Mus musculus: one gene and its partners. The protein of the gene in region 1 purifies or fractionates together with the protein of each later gene. This does not show direct contact. Links are inferred from orthologs where the notes say so. Each region holds a gene or a part of one and is shown in the gene's direction. Other genes may lie near its edges.

Region 1 (3,649 bases):
AAAGTATAGGCATATTTCTTTGCTCTAAGATCATAACACAAGTGAGCAAGGTGGCACACACTTTAATCCTAGCACTTGGGGGGCGGGATGGGGAAAGAGGCAGGTGAATCTCCATGTTTTACATGCCAGCCTGGTTTACAAAGCAAGTTCCAGGACAGCTAGGGCTGTTACACAGAGAAACCCTGTCTTAAAACAACACCAGTAGCAACAAATTAGATAACACAAACTAGTCCTGTTCGCACATGCCTCAGGATGCTCATGCTGGAAGATCACGAGGCCTTTCTAAGCTACAGGATAAGTCCAAGACCAACTTGGACAGCTAGATGAGGTTTGTGTTTGGTACAACACAAGTAAGGAAAGGAAGGAGAGAGGTTGGATCTGCAAGTACACCTTTTTAGCCCCAGCACTTAAACCTGAAGCTCAAAGATTGTCAACACTAGTTGGAGCTCATAGTGAACTTGAGGCCAGATGGACTGCAGTATAAAATCATATCTCAAAACATAAAGATAATCATACATTTTTTGAACCGTATTTCACCCCAAGTCTTTGATAACTTGAATTATAAGATGTACTAATGTTCGTATTCCAACAAGAAAAAGAAATACATCTTGCCCATTACACTTCTCCATACTCTTTGTTACATGATTTATTCCTGAGAAATTCCATATAAAAAGATGTATCTTAGAGTTGCAAAATTTGGAAAAACAGTGTAATGTGTGAGCTTATTTAGGATTTTACTTTCTTTCTTTTTTTTCCCCAAAGTATATTTAAAGTCCTTAATAATTACTCAACAGGACAGTTACAAATAAAATAAATCTTACAGGTACCATTAATGTAGGACAGACACCTACATTAACTGATCTCTTACGGGTAGACACTAAGAATAGCATATAAGGCAAAATGGACAGTGAACATAGTTGGTTTAAGTGTGACGCTTGCAAGTGTGCCTTTATTCTCTGTAAGTTTAGTTATCCTTGAATATCTGTGAGAGATCCCAGGCCCCCACCTCAGTACCAGAACTGATTCTGATACAAATCTCCTACATACTTTCTATCGTCTTTACATCCTCTATAATGCCCGATCTGAGTGCTCAATGTTAAGTTCTGGTCTTAATTGCTTAAGAAATAATAACAAGAAAGGCACATGAACATGTTTAATATAAGCACCTTTCTATGAATATTTTTGGTCTCTGGTTAGTTGAAGCCGTCTGTGACTAACTCGGATGTGGAGGGATGAAGTATATTTCAGGGTTAGGGAACTCATTTCTTCTAAGGTGAGTGTCTCCTGCCACTGTAATGTAAAGAAGCCATGCCGCTTCTGTCTAACAGAAAGAGCGTCCGTGCTCAAGGGCTCTTTTTCTCTATCTTGACTATTTGGAACAATCCCTAGGAATAGGAACCTCATATACTCTGCACTGGGATGAGCACTGCAGATTTCTTCGTAGATCCTCACCATGATACGATCTTTTTTCATTCACATCCTAACTCTGAGCTTCAGGGAAGCAGTTTTATTAACTAATCCCCGTCCCCGTGCCTGGTTAGACAGTGTGGTAGCCCTCAGCACTGTGGTGACTGACAGCCCATTGTTGACTTGCAGGCATGTTCATGCTGGAGGACGACCGCTTCGGCAGCACCTCCACCAGCACATTTTTCCTTGACATCAATGAAGATGCTGAGCCAGCATTTTATGACCGACCTGGACCCATAAAAGATAAAAATTCATTTCCCTTTTTTGGCTCCAGCAAACTTGTAAAGAATCGTATCTTAAATTCACTTACTTTGCCTACTAAAAAACACCGCAGTAGCAGTGATCCAAAAGGAGGAAAACTGTCATCTGAAAATAAGACAAGCAACCGGCGAATCAGAACACTTACGGAGCCCAGTGTTGACTTGAATCACAGCGAAGACTTCACAAGCTCCTCAGCACAGAAATCATTACAGCTAGAGCCTTCCTTCGTTGGGAATAAGCACCTTGAAGACGCGGGCAGCACTCCAAGTATTGGAGAGAATGACCTCAAATTCCCCAAGAGTTTTGGTACCGAGACTCACAGAGAAAACACAAGCCGAGAAAGGTTGGTTGTGGAAGGCTCAGCAAGCTCCCACATCAAGATCCGCAGCCAGAGCTTTAACACGGACACTACGACGAGTGGCATCAGCTCCATGAGCTCGAGCCCCTCCCGAGAGACAGTCGCTGTCGACCCCACAGCTATGGACACGGACTGTGGAAGTCTGAGTACCGTGGTAAGTACTAAAACTGTTAAGACGAGCCACTATTTGACACCACAGTCTAACCATCTGTCTCTCTCCAAATCGAACTCAGTGTCCCTGGTGCCACCAGGTTCTTCTCACACCCTTCCTAGAAGAGCCCAGTCCCTTAAAGCGCCCTCCATTGCAACAATAAAAAGTCTAGCAGATTGCAACTTCAGCTACACAAGCTCTAGAGATGCCTTTGGCTATGCTACATTGAAAAGGTTACAGCAGCAAAGAATGCACCCGTCCTTGTCTCACTCGGAAGCTTTGGCGTCGCCGGCAAAAGATGTGCTTTTTACCGACACCATCACCATGAAGGCCAACAGCTTTGAATCCAGACTGACGCCAAGCAGGTGAGCAGTATGCACTGAGAGATGAGTCAGCGTGTTCTAACAGATTGAAATGTAAGACACTAGTCAGCTTGAGCACCACAGAAACCAAGTCTCAGAACTGACCCACTTACCTCAGTAGGCTGAGAGCTCCTCGTTACCTGATAGCATTTGAAATGGATTCTTGCAGCTGCGAGGGGGGAAAATAAGGTCCATTAGGCCCTGAAAATAAACATGGTTTGCAAGGTTACACAGTCACAAGCTTTTCTTATTTATTTCTCGCTTCTGCAAGGATCGATTTTAAAAAGAAGCATGTCGGGGGAGTCAGGAGCTTAAGACCTACAGTAACAAACAGCCTTTTCAGGTAGGTCGAGGTAAAGCTCCAAACGGTGACCTCTTACTAGTTGTTAAAATAGCTGAAAACTTCAGGTCAATTATTTTGCATTAAGTACACATAATTAAAAAGGAACCTAATAAACACTAAATGAATTCCTGGGTCCTCAAGACTAAGCAAGAGTTTCTAATTATATATTAAATATTCCATATTTAGGGTATATCAAGCTATTAACAGTATAGTTTAAGTTTGTTTTTTACCATGATACACTTTGAAACTTGACAGTTATAAAAAGTTCCACACCTGTTTGTTGTTGGGAATTCTCGTAGTTGAATTATGTCCGTTTAAATGGTTTATATTTCTCTAAGCAGACTGCTAGGTGTCAGGTAGTAAAATGAGAGAGTGAGCCCTCATTTACAGGGTATGCTCACTGTCAGAATTGGGAGTTACTGCTGTAAAAGATCAGTCTCATTTCTGACTTTTAGGTAGCATTTTTAATAAAGAAGGTCCTGGCAGCAGATAGTGAATTGTGTCCCCTCTTAATAAAAATGTGCAGTAATGGTTGTTGTAACTGGGAGTCTCTGCCTCTGCCATCCTCGGGAGTGTGGAACACGGCCACGAGGCACGCATGGAGGGCTAGAGCTGCTGCGTTAGGCTGGCTGCGGCTCTGAGCTGGCCTACTGGACACTCGGCTAGATCCGTGGGTTAAACTTTTACAATGTTAACTTTCTAAGCAG
Region 2 (3,649 bases), on another chromosome or scaffold:
CAGGGGCCCTGTTTCTTGGCCAGTTAGGGCTGAGCCACTTCTCCCAATTCCCATAGATCTCAAGATATTAGGGCAGGTCTTGATCTCAGCAGCTGTACAGCATCCATCTCACTTGCTCTTCCACCCTCCTTCTGGGCTTTGCGGTTTTTGGCAGGGTCCCTTTTATTGGATTGTATTATGTGTCTATGGGAGTCTTTCCCCCCCAAACTCTCCTTTATCACAAAATATTTTCTTACACCATTTAGATGCCCTGGGCAGAGGGTGCCTGATCCACTTTCTACCCCTAGTTGGGAGGGGCCTCTTGTCACCTAATTGATTTGCTGTGCTGCAGACCTAGGTCCCTCCTTGCTGGCCTTCATGAGGGAATACCCTAACTGCAATGCCGCCACGCCTTTTCCCACAGACAGCAAGGCTATTGTGGATGGAAATCTGAAGCTGATCTTAGGCCTCATCTGGACCCTGATCCTGCACTATTCCATCTCAATGCCCATGTGGGATGAGGAAGAGGATGAGGAGGCCAAGAAGCAAACACCCAAGCAGAGGCTTCTAGGCTGGATTCAGAACAAGCTACCACAGCTTCCCATTACCAACTTCAGTCGAGACTGGCAGAGTGGCCGGGCCCTGGGTGCTCTTGTTGATAGCTGTGCCCCAGGTAAGGGAGATCTTGGGCTAAGACTGTCTGGTCAACCTAGAAGGTAGCTCTATAGCCCCAGACTCACAACAAGTTCTTTTCTGTGTTGTAGGCCTATGTCCTGACTGGGACTCCTGGGATGCTAGTAAGCCTGTGAACAATGCACGGGAAGCCATGCAGCAGGCTGATGACTGGCTAGGCATTCCTCAGGTATGCTCCCGGACTGACCCCTGCAGCTAAGGGGTGCTTGGTTAAAGTGAAGAGAGACCCAATGGCTCTTGTCTTCTGTCTGTAACAGGTGATTACCCCAGAAGAAATTGTGGACCCCAATGTAGATGAGCATTCTGTTATGACCTACCTGTCTCAGTTTCCCAAGGCCAAGCTGAAGCCAGGGGCTCCTCTTCGGCCCAAACTGAACCCGAAGAAAGCCCGAGCCTATGGGCCAGGTGAGGGGGCCTGGTCAGTGGCATTCCAAGGGGCTGAGCACTTATATCCGGTCCATGGGACAGTATTCTCTTTCATTTTGGGTCCTAAGAGGTCTTGAGGAAGATGAATGGATCAAAACCTGGTTAAAAATGGTGCCTTGGCAAGGGAATACTAGTAAGTTCCTTAAGTCATACTGGCTTGTAGGAAGCTTCTTGATTGAAGGAGAAGAACCTCACGTATGAAGGATGACCTCGTGTACTGCTATTCTATAATTGGAGATGAAGCAGTCAGGATTGTGCAGGTGCAAGGGGTTAGGAAAGTACAGCAAACCAGATTTTTCAGAGAACAGGCATGGGCCTGTCTTGGTGGCAATAGCCCATATAGCATGGATCTGAGGCCCGGCTCAATGCTGGGTTTACATTGAACAAATCTACCTGATTGGATTGTACCTAGCTGGGGGAGGGGCACTGAGCCTGCAGAGGGATAGGGTCTCTAATGCTGTGTCCATAACCCTTTAGGGTCTGGGAACCAGGGTATAGAGGTGAGAGGGTAGCCCTACTAGTTGGTTCATGGCTTTCTCATCTTCTGACAGGCATCGAGCCTACAGGCAATATGGTGAAGAAGAGAGCAGAATTCACTGTGGAGACCCGAAGTGCTGGACAGGGAGAAGTGCTTGTATATGTGGAGGACCCAGCTGGACACCAGGAAGAGGTAGGATTATCCATTAGCAGGGCAGGATTCTGTTATGCCCCCTTTTAAAGGGGTTGCTCTTAACACTCTTCCCATTACAGGCAAAAGTGACTGCCAATAATGACAAGAACCGTACTTTCTCTGTCTGGTATGTCCCTGAAGTGACAGGGACTCATAAGGTGAGTCCTTGGCTGAGAAGGAAGCTGGTGGCCATGGGTAGTTGGTGAAGGGCCCCTTACCTCACTCTCACAGCCTGCCCCTTCTGGGAACAGGTGACTGTGCTCTTTGCTGGCCAACATATTGCCAAGAGCCCCTTTGAGGTGTATGTGGACAAGTCACAGGGTGATGCCAGCAAAGTGACTGCCCAGGGCCCTGGTCTGGAGCCCAGTGGCAATATTGCCAACAAGACTACCTACTTTGAGATCTTCACTGCAGGTGAGGGGAGACAGCCCAGGCCCAGCCAGCCATGGGGGAGAGCTGTGCTGGGGTCCTAGAGCTGAGTCTGTGCCTTGGGACAGGAGCTGGCATGGGTGAGGTGGAAGTTGTCATCCAGGACCCTACAGGACAGAAAGGCACAGTGGAACCTCAGCTGGAGGCCAGGGGTGACAGCACCTATCGCTGTAGCTATCAGCCCACCATGGAGGGTGTCCATACAGTACATGTCACCTTCGCCGGTGTTCCCATCCCTCGTAGCCCCTACACTGTCACTGTTGGCCAAGGTAGGCCTGCCCATGAGTGTTCTTCTACTGTGGTACTATGGCCTGGGGCTCTAGGGAGGGAGTTGGCAACTGGGACTGTCCCACTGAAGCCCATGTTTGGGAGCCCCAGTTTCTGAGCTTCCACTGTTTGGGCAAGCACTATCTTTCCTTTCCCATATTGGAGCCCTTTTGCTCTCCTTCCTCTCTTTGCCCCTCTTCGTCTCTTTTCTCCATGCTTTTACCTTCGGAAGAGCTCGCTCCAGCTGTCTAGAAACCTGCTGCTCTCTGCTCTACCTGCAGGGTCAACGGTACTTGGATCTACCTTTCTCTTGGTGGGGAGGACTGGGTAGGGGTATTGGGGTTAGTGTCAAGCAGGTGGGAAAAAGCCTGTCATGTCTTTGCTTTGGGTACAGGTTCTAGACCCATTTAAGTTTTTTCTTGCATGTGCTTCACCAGCTTGTGGTCCTAAACTCTGAGGAACCTTCCAATCCTAATGGCCTGGTTTTCTGGGTAGCAAGGGAGGGGATACCCAGCCCCAGTTCCCCACAACTCAGCTGGCTTATTTGCCCACAGCCTGTAACCCAGCTGCCTGCCGGGCTATTGGTAGAGGCCTTCAGCCCAAGGGTGTTCGAGTGAAGGAAACAGCCGACTTCAAGGTGTACACAAAGGGCGCTGGCAGTGGGGAGCTAAAGGTCACTGTAAAGGGTCCCAGTAAGTTTATCTGGTGGGGTGGTGGGTGATAGACCTCAGGTCATGGTTGGACAAGCAGGCCTAAGTTCTTCCTTGCTTTTGCAGAGGGTGAGGAGCGTGTAAAGCAGAAGGACTTAGGGGATGGTGTGTATGGCTTTGAATATTACCCTACAATCCCTGGCACATACACTGTCACCATCACATGGGGTGGCCAGAACATTGGTCGAAGGTAAGCTCCCTCCACTATTCATCATGTTCTGAGCCCTACCATCTATCTGGTGAGGGGCCAGTGGCTGTTGGGCATAGGGCAGTGGCTCTTGGTGTTTACCTGTGTGGTACTCTTGCCTGCAGTCCGTTTGAGGTGAAGGTAGGCACTGAGTGTGGCAATCAGAAAGTTCGGGCATGGGGTCCTGGCCTGGAAGGAGGCATTGTTGGCAAGTCAGCAGACTTCGTAGTAGAGGCCATTGGTGATGATGTGGGCACCTTGGGTAAGTTGGAGGCTTCAGAGTGGGTA
Region 3 (3,649 bases), on another chromosome or scaffold:
GAATAGTCACACTCCTTCTTCTTACTCCTTTCACATGCTCCTCACTACTTTTCTTCATTAATTACTTGTGACTATGTGAGAATCTAACATCTTCCGTAACCATGTAAGGTCGATTGCCTGACATGGGATGAGCACTTAAATGTTTAACAGATGAAATTGAGGAAGTGGCCTTGGGGAGGAGAGAGCAGTGATCTTTCTCTCTCTTTTCCCACCTTCCTTTCTCTCACTAATTTCCACCCACTGTAATCTCCTGACACCATGGTCCCTATTACATGGGTATTTTATTGTCTTCGATTAATTAGGCAGGTTGAGCCACACCTTGTCTTAATGCCAGAGGAAACTGGAGCCTGGTCTTCTGAGACAGCCCACAGGCCTTGCCAATGCCTGTTCTAGTCCATCCCGAGTGCACTGTGAACACTTGCCCTGGACTCCTTGAGGCTGGTGGGGATCCAGCAAGCACTCACCTCTTACCCCTCCACATGTCTTCTTCCCCCAGGGACAGGAGCTGACCATCCGCCAGATCTCCCTGCTGGGCTTCCGGGACCTGGTCTTGCTGAAGGTGAAGCTGGGTGACGTGCTGCTGTTGGCACAGTCCAAGTTGCCTTCTTCTGTTATACAAATGCTGCTCATTCTGCAGGTGAGCTCCAAGGGGCCCTGTCCCTTGTGGCAGCAATCAGCCGAAGGATCCAGGATCCTGCTGTGATGGAGGTGGGAAGGAGGTGGAATCACAGAGCCCTGTGGCAGAGCCGTGCATTCTTCTGCTTGTTTGTCCATGTTTCTTGGTTCACCGGTTCCTGTACCTTTGCTGTGCACCTGTCAGGACCCTATTGCTCTACTTAGGGCTAGTCTTGGAGTCAGGAAAGAACTAAACACCTGGAGCCTGATTTCCTGGGAGCTGTGGCTTTCTCCATCCCTCGGGTGAGATTTGGGTACCCACATTCCCTCTGCCCTGAACACCGTTGTTTGGGATAGTCAAGACAGATACTAAATTTCTTCTCCTGCTTGTACCTTCAGCGCCCAGCCCAGAGTCTTGAGCACAAAAGTAACCATTTATTGTGGTGCCGGCTAGTGAAGGGTACACATCCTTGTCAGCCCTTAAACTATGCCAAGGAGCCAAGGATTGAAAACGATGACAAAGTATCTGCTGTCATTGAGTCAAGAGAGAACTAGAACTCCTAGATGGGCTTCATGAAAAAGCAAGACCATGTCAGGTCTCCGAGCTCTGGTCACTTCTTGGTCTCTGTTTGGATCATTCTTCCTGATTTTTCTCTGATGCCTTCTCTTGTGGCCTTGCCCGGATGCTCTTAGACTTGGTCTTTTCTCTGTTTGTGGAATTATTTGGACCAGATTAGATGTGACATGCCATGGTGTTTGTTTCCAGGGAGACACTACCCAGATGGCTCCATCCTGTCTTCTCATCCCAGTCTTAAATCAGCAACAGGAAGATGAGCTAACACTTCTCCGGCTCTGGTTGTTTGCCAGGTGCAGGCACAAGGACTATAAATGTTCTGTTTTTCTTAAACAGTCCAAATAAGCCCTTTTATGAGGTCAGCGTTGTTGTTATTCCCATGCTCCAGATGAGGAAACAAAAACAGGACAGGACTCTTATGCAGTTGAGTGAAATTTCTCAGCTGGTAGGAGGTAGTAAGATTCTCAGATGCAGAACTGTGAGCATCCTGATCCCTTCTGTAGGGAGGGATCTATCTGGTTGGCACATGTTGGGCTTGGATCTCCCGTTTGCCCAATCAACTATGACCTTGAATGTGGTCAGATGGAACCAACATGCCCCAGGGAGCTCTTTCCCATGGATGGGTGTACAGTCTCAGGTTCCTCCATCAGGCTCCTGTTGACTAATGAGATATCACCAGCCCCATCTCCCCCCCCCCCCGCCCCCCACTGCTGTGCTTTTGACTCTCTTGGGGCTATCCTCAGCGTATTCCCCTTTCCTGTAATAAGAAAGGAGGCAGGGTCATCTTAGAGATAAGGGTGGGTATCTTTCTAGAGCTAGCCTTTTTGTAGATAGGAGGATGGGCGTGGCAAAGCGCCCGCAGCTTACATCTGAAATGCTGAATTCAGGGCTTAGCTCCCAAATATGGAGCGTGGAAAAGGAGCCCCTGAGGATTCTAGGACTGAGGTTAGGAGGCTGGACTCCACTTTCTGTTTCTGTTTTGACTTATAACGCCATCCAGTATTACTTACTTCCCCTTCAGCTGTGTCAAAATACCTGACAAACACAACTTAGAAGGGGAACTGCTTACTTAAGCTTACAGTCATCGTTGCGGAGAAGGCACAGTAACGGGAAGGTGAGGCAGCTGGCCACGCTGTATCTTGTATCTGTATCAGCAAGTAGAGAGAGATGAATGCTGGTGTTCAGCTGGCTTCCTCTTTCTATGCAGCCTGAGACCACAGCCCAGGCAATGGCTCTGTGCGTGAGGTGGGTGGGTCTTCCCACCCCTATTAACCTAGATATGCTGCCCAAGGGGTGTTTCCATAGTGACAGTCAAGTTTAACTACCATACATCTCTTTCCATGTATGGTCATGGCTGCCTTTTGAGGACCCTCCCCATCTGAAAGTGGAGCATGCAGACCTGTTTCTGTAACAAAAGCCTTTTGAGGTTCTGGGGTTTGTGTGGAACAACCCAACAATACATGACATCACCCCCCTTAAAGTCTCTGAAGGTGTACCAGAATGTCTATCTACTCTGGCCTGTCCCCTTTCCCCACCACGGTGTGTATATGCAGTTCTTTGCAGCTGATCTTAGGGAATCTGCTCAAGTGTGTCCCTGGGCCTAAAGCCCCTTCATCCCTCCATCAGACATTAGAACCTGACTCTCTAATGCTGACCTGTGCTGTGGCCTTCCTGGTCCCTGCAGGGCTAGGGTCTTGGTGCTCATTTTTTTCTCTGCTCTAAACACTGTTGTCCAGAGCAACTCTTAAACTTCTTCCCTATGCTGTGCCCTCAGCACCCTTGGTCATAAAAGTAGGTGCTCATTGAGCATGGCTCAGAAAGTGATGGAACCAGTTAGGAAGAACCCAAGATCCCTGGCCTGAGTCCCATGATGGCTTCTTCCTTTAGAAGTGAGGAATATAGCCTGAGAAGTTCCATGGCTGTGTTGAGGTTCTGGAAAACTGGGCCATGAAACAGTCCCCACTGTGGATCTTCCTGTTCTTCCCACGTCAGGGTACTGGAAGGTCAGAGAGTTAGTTGGCTAACTAACTCAGGAGTATAAACTGAACTGTGTGAGCTGGGTCAGTCAACCAGTCCTAGTCTTTTTTACTCTCTCCACCTCTCAGCCTTCCTTCCTGTCCCACCCCCTCCCCCCCTCCTTTCCAACACTAAACATTCTGCTACCTGAGCTCAGGGAGGGTGGAGCTGGGACAGAGGGGGTAGAGAATCGCCAAGCCTGTTTCTAGCACCACAGTCAAGCTCATCCCAATATAGTCACTCTCTCCACATCTGTCTCTTCCCTTCCCTTTTTAGTCTCAGACTGCAAACCCTGCTTATATTTTGTCAAATTTGCATATAATCTGTAGCCTCTTTTCAGGTTTCTTGTTTCCTTAAACCATCCAACACCCAGGCATCTGTGCCTCATTTGGTGTAGCAGAAAAGGGCCAAGGAAAAGCCCATTTACTTGGGAACCACATCTCA

The links.
Region 2: the proteins of Rictor (region 1) and Flna purify together in Homo sapiens (affinity purification with mass spectrometry; 3 studies listed by BioGRID and IntAct, with this or other methods). This does not show direct contact. The link is inferred for Mus musculus from reciprocal best matches to the Homo sapiens genes RICTOR and FLNA.
Region 3: the proteins of Rictor (region 1) and Prr5l purify together in Homo sapiens (affinity purification with western blotting; 3 studies listed by BioGRID and IntAct, with this or other methods). This does not show direct contact. The link is inferred for Mus musculus from reciprocal best matches to the Homo sapiens genes RICTOR and PRR5L.

The regions. Positions count from the first base shown.
Region 1 is NC_000081.6:6,784,780-6,788,428, forward strand, and holds part of Rictor (rapamycin-insensitive companion of mTOR), read left to right. Parts: intron 1-1,596; coding exon 1,597-2,602; intron 2,603-2,870; coding exon of another isoform or gene 2,871-2,942; intron 2,943-3,649. UniProt on the Homo sapiens protein: Component of the mechanistic target of rapamycin complex 2 (mTORC2), which transduces signals from growth factors to pathways involved in proliferation, cytoskeletal organization, lipogenesis and anabolic output.
Region 2 is NC_000086.7:74,239,920-74,243,568, reverse strand, and holds part of Flna (filamin-A), read left to right. Parts: intron 1-403; coding exon 404-652; intron 653-743; coding exon 744-841; intron 842-929; coding exon 930-1,077; intron 1,078-1,649; coding exon 1,650-1,768; intron 1,769-1,848; coding exon 1,849-1,926; intron 1,927-2,019; coding exon 2,020-2,182; intron 2,183-2,265; coding exon 2,266-2,466; intron 2,467-2,696; exon of another isoform or gene 2,697-2,753; intron 2,754-3,018; coding exon 3,019-3,156; intron 3,157-3,240; coding exon 3,241-3,364; intron 3,365-3,486; coding exon 3,487-3,623; intron 3,624-3,649. UniProt on the Homo sapiens protein: Promotes orthogonal branching of actin filaments and links actin filaments to membrane glycoproteins. Anchors various transmembrane proteins to the actin cytoskeleton and serves as a scaffold for a wide range of cytoplasmic signaling proteins.
Region 3 is NC_000068.7:101,731,593-101,735,241, reverse strand, and holds part of Prr5l (proline-rich protein 5-like), read left to right. Parts: intron 1-496; coding exon 497-637; intron 638-3,649. UniProt on the Homo sapiens protein: Associates with the mTORC2 complex that regulates cellular processes including survival and organization of the cytoskeleton.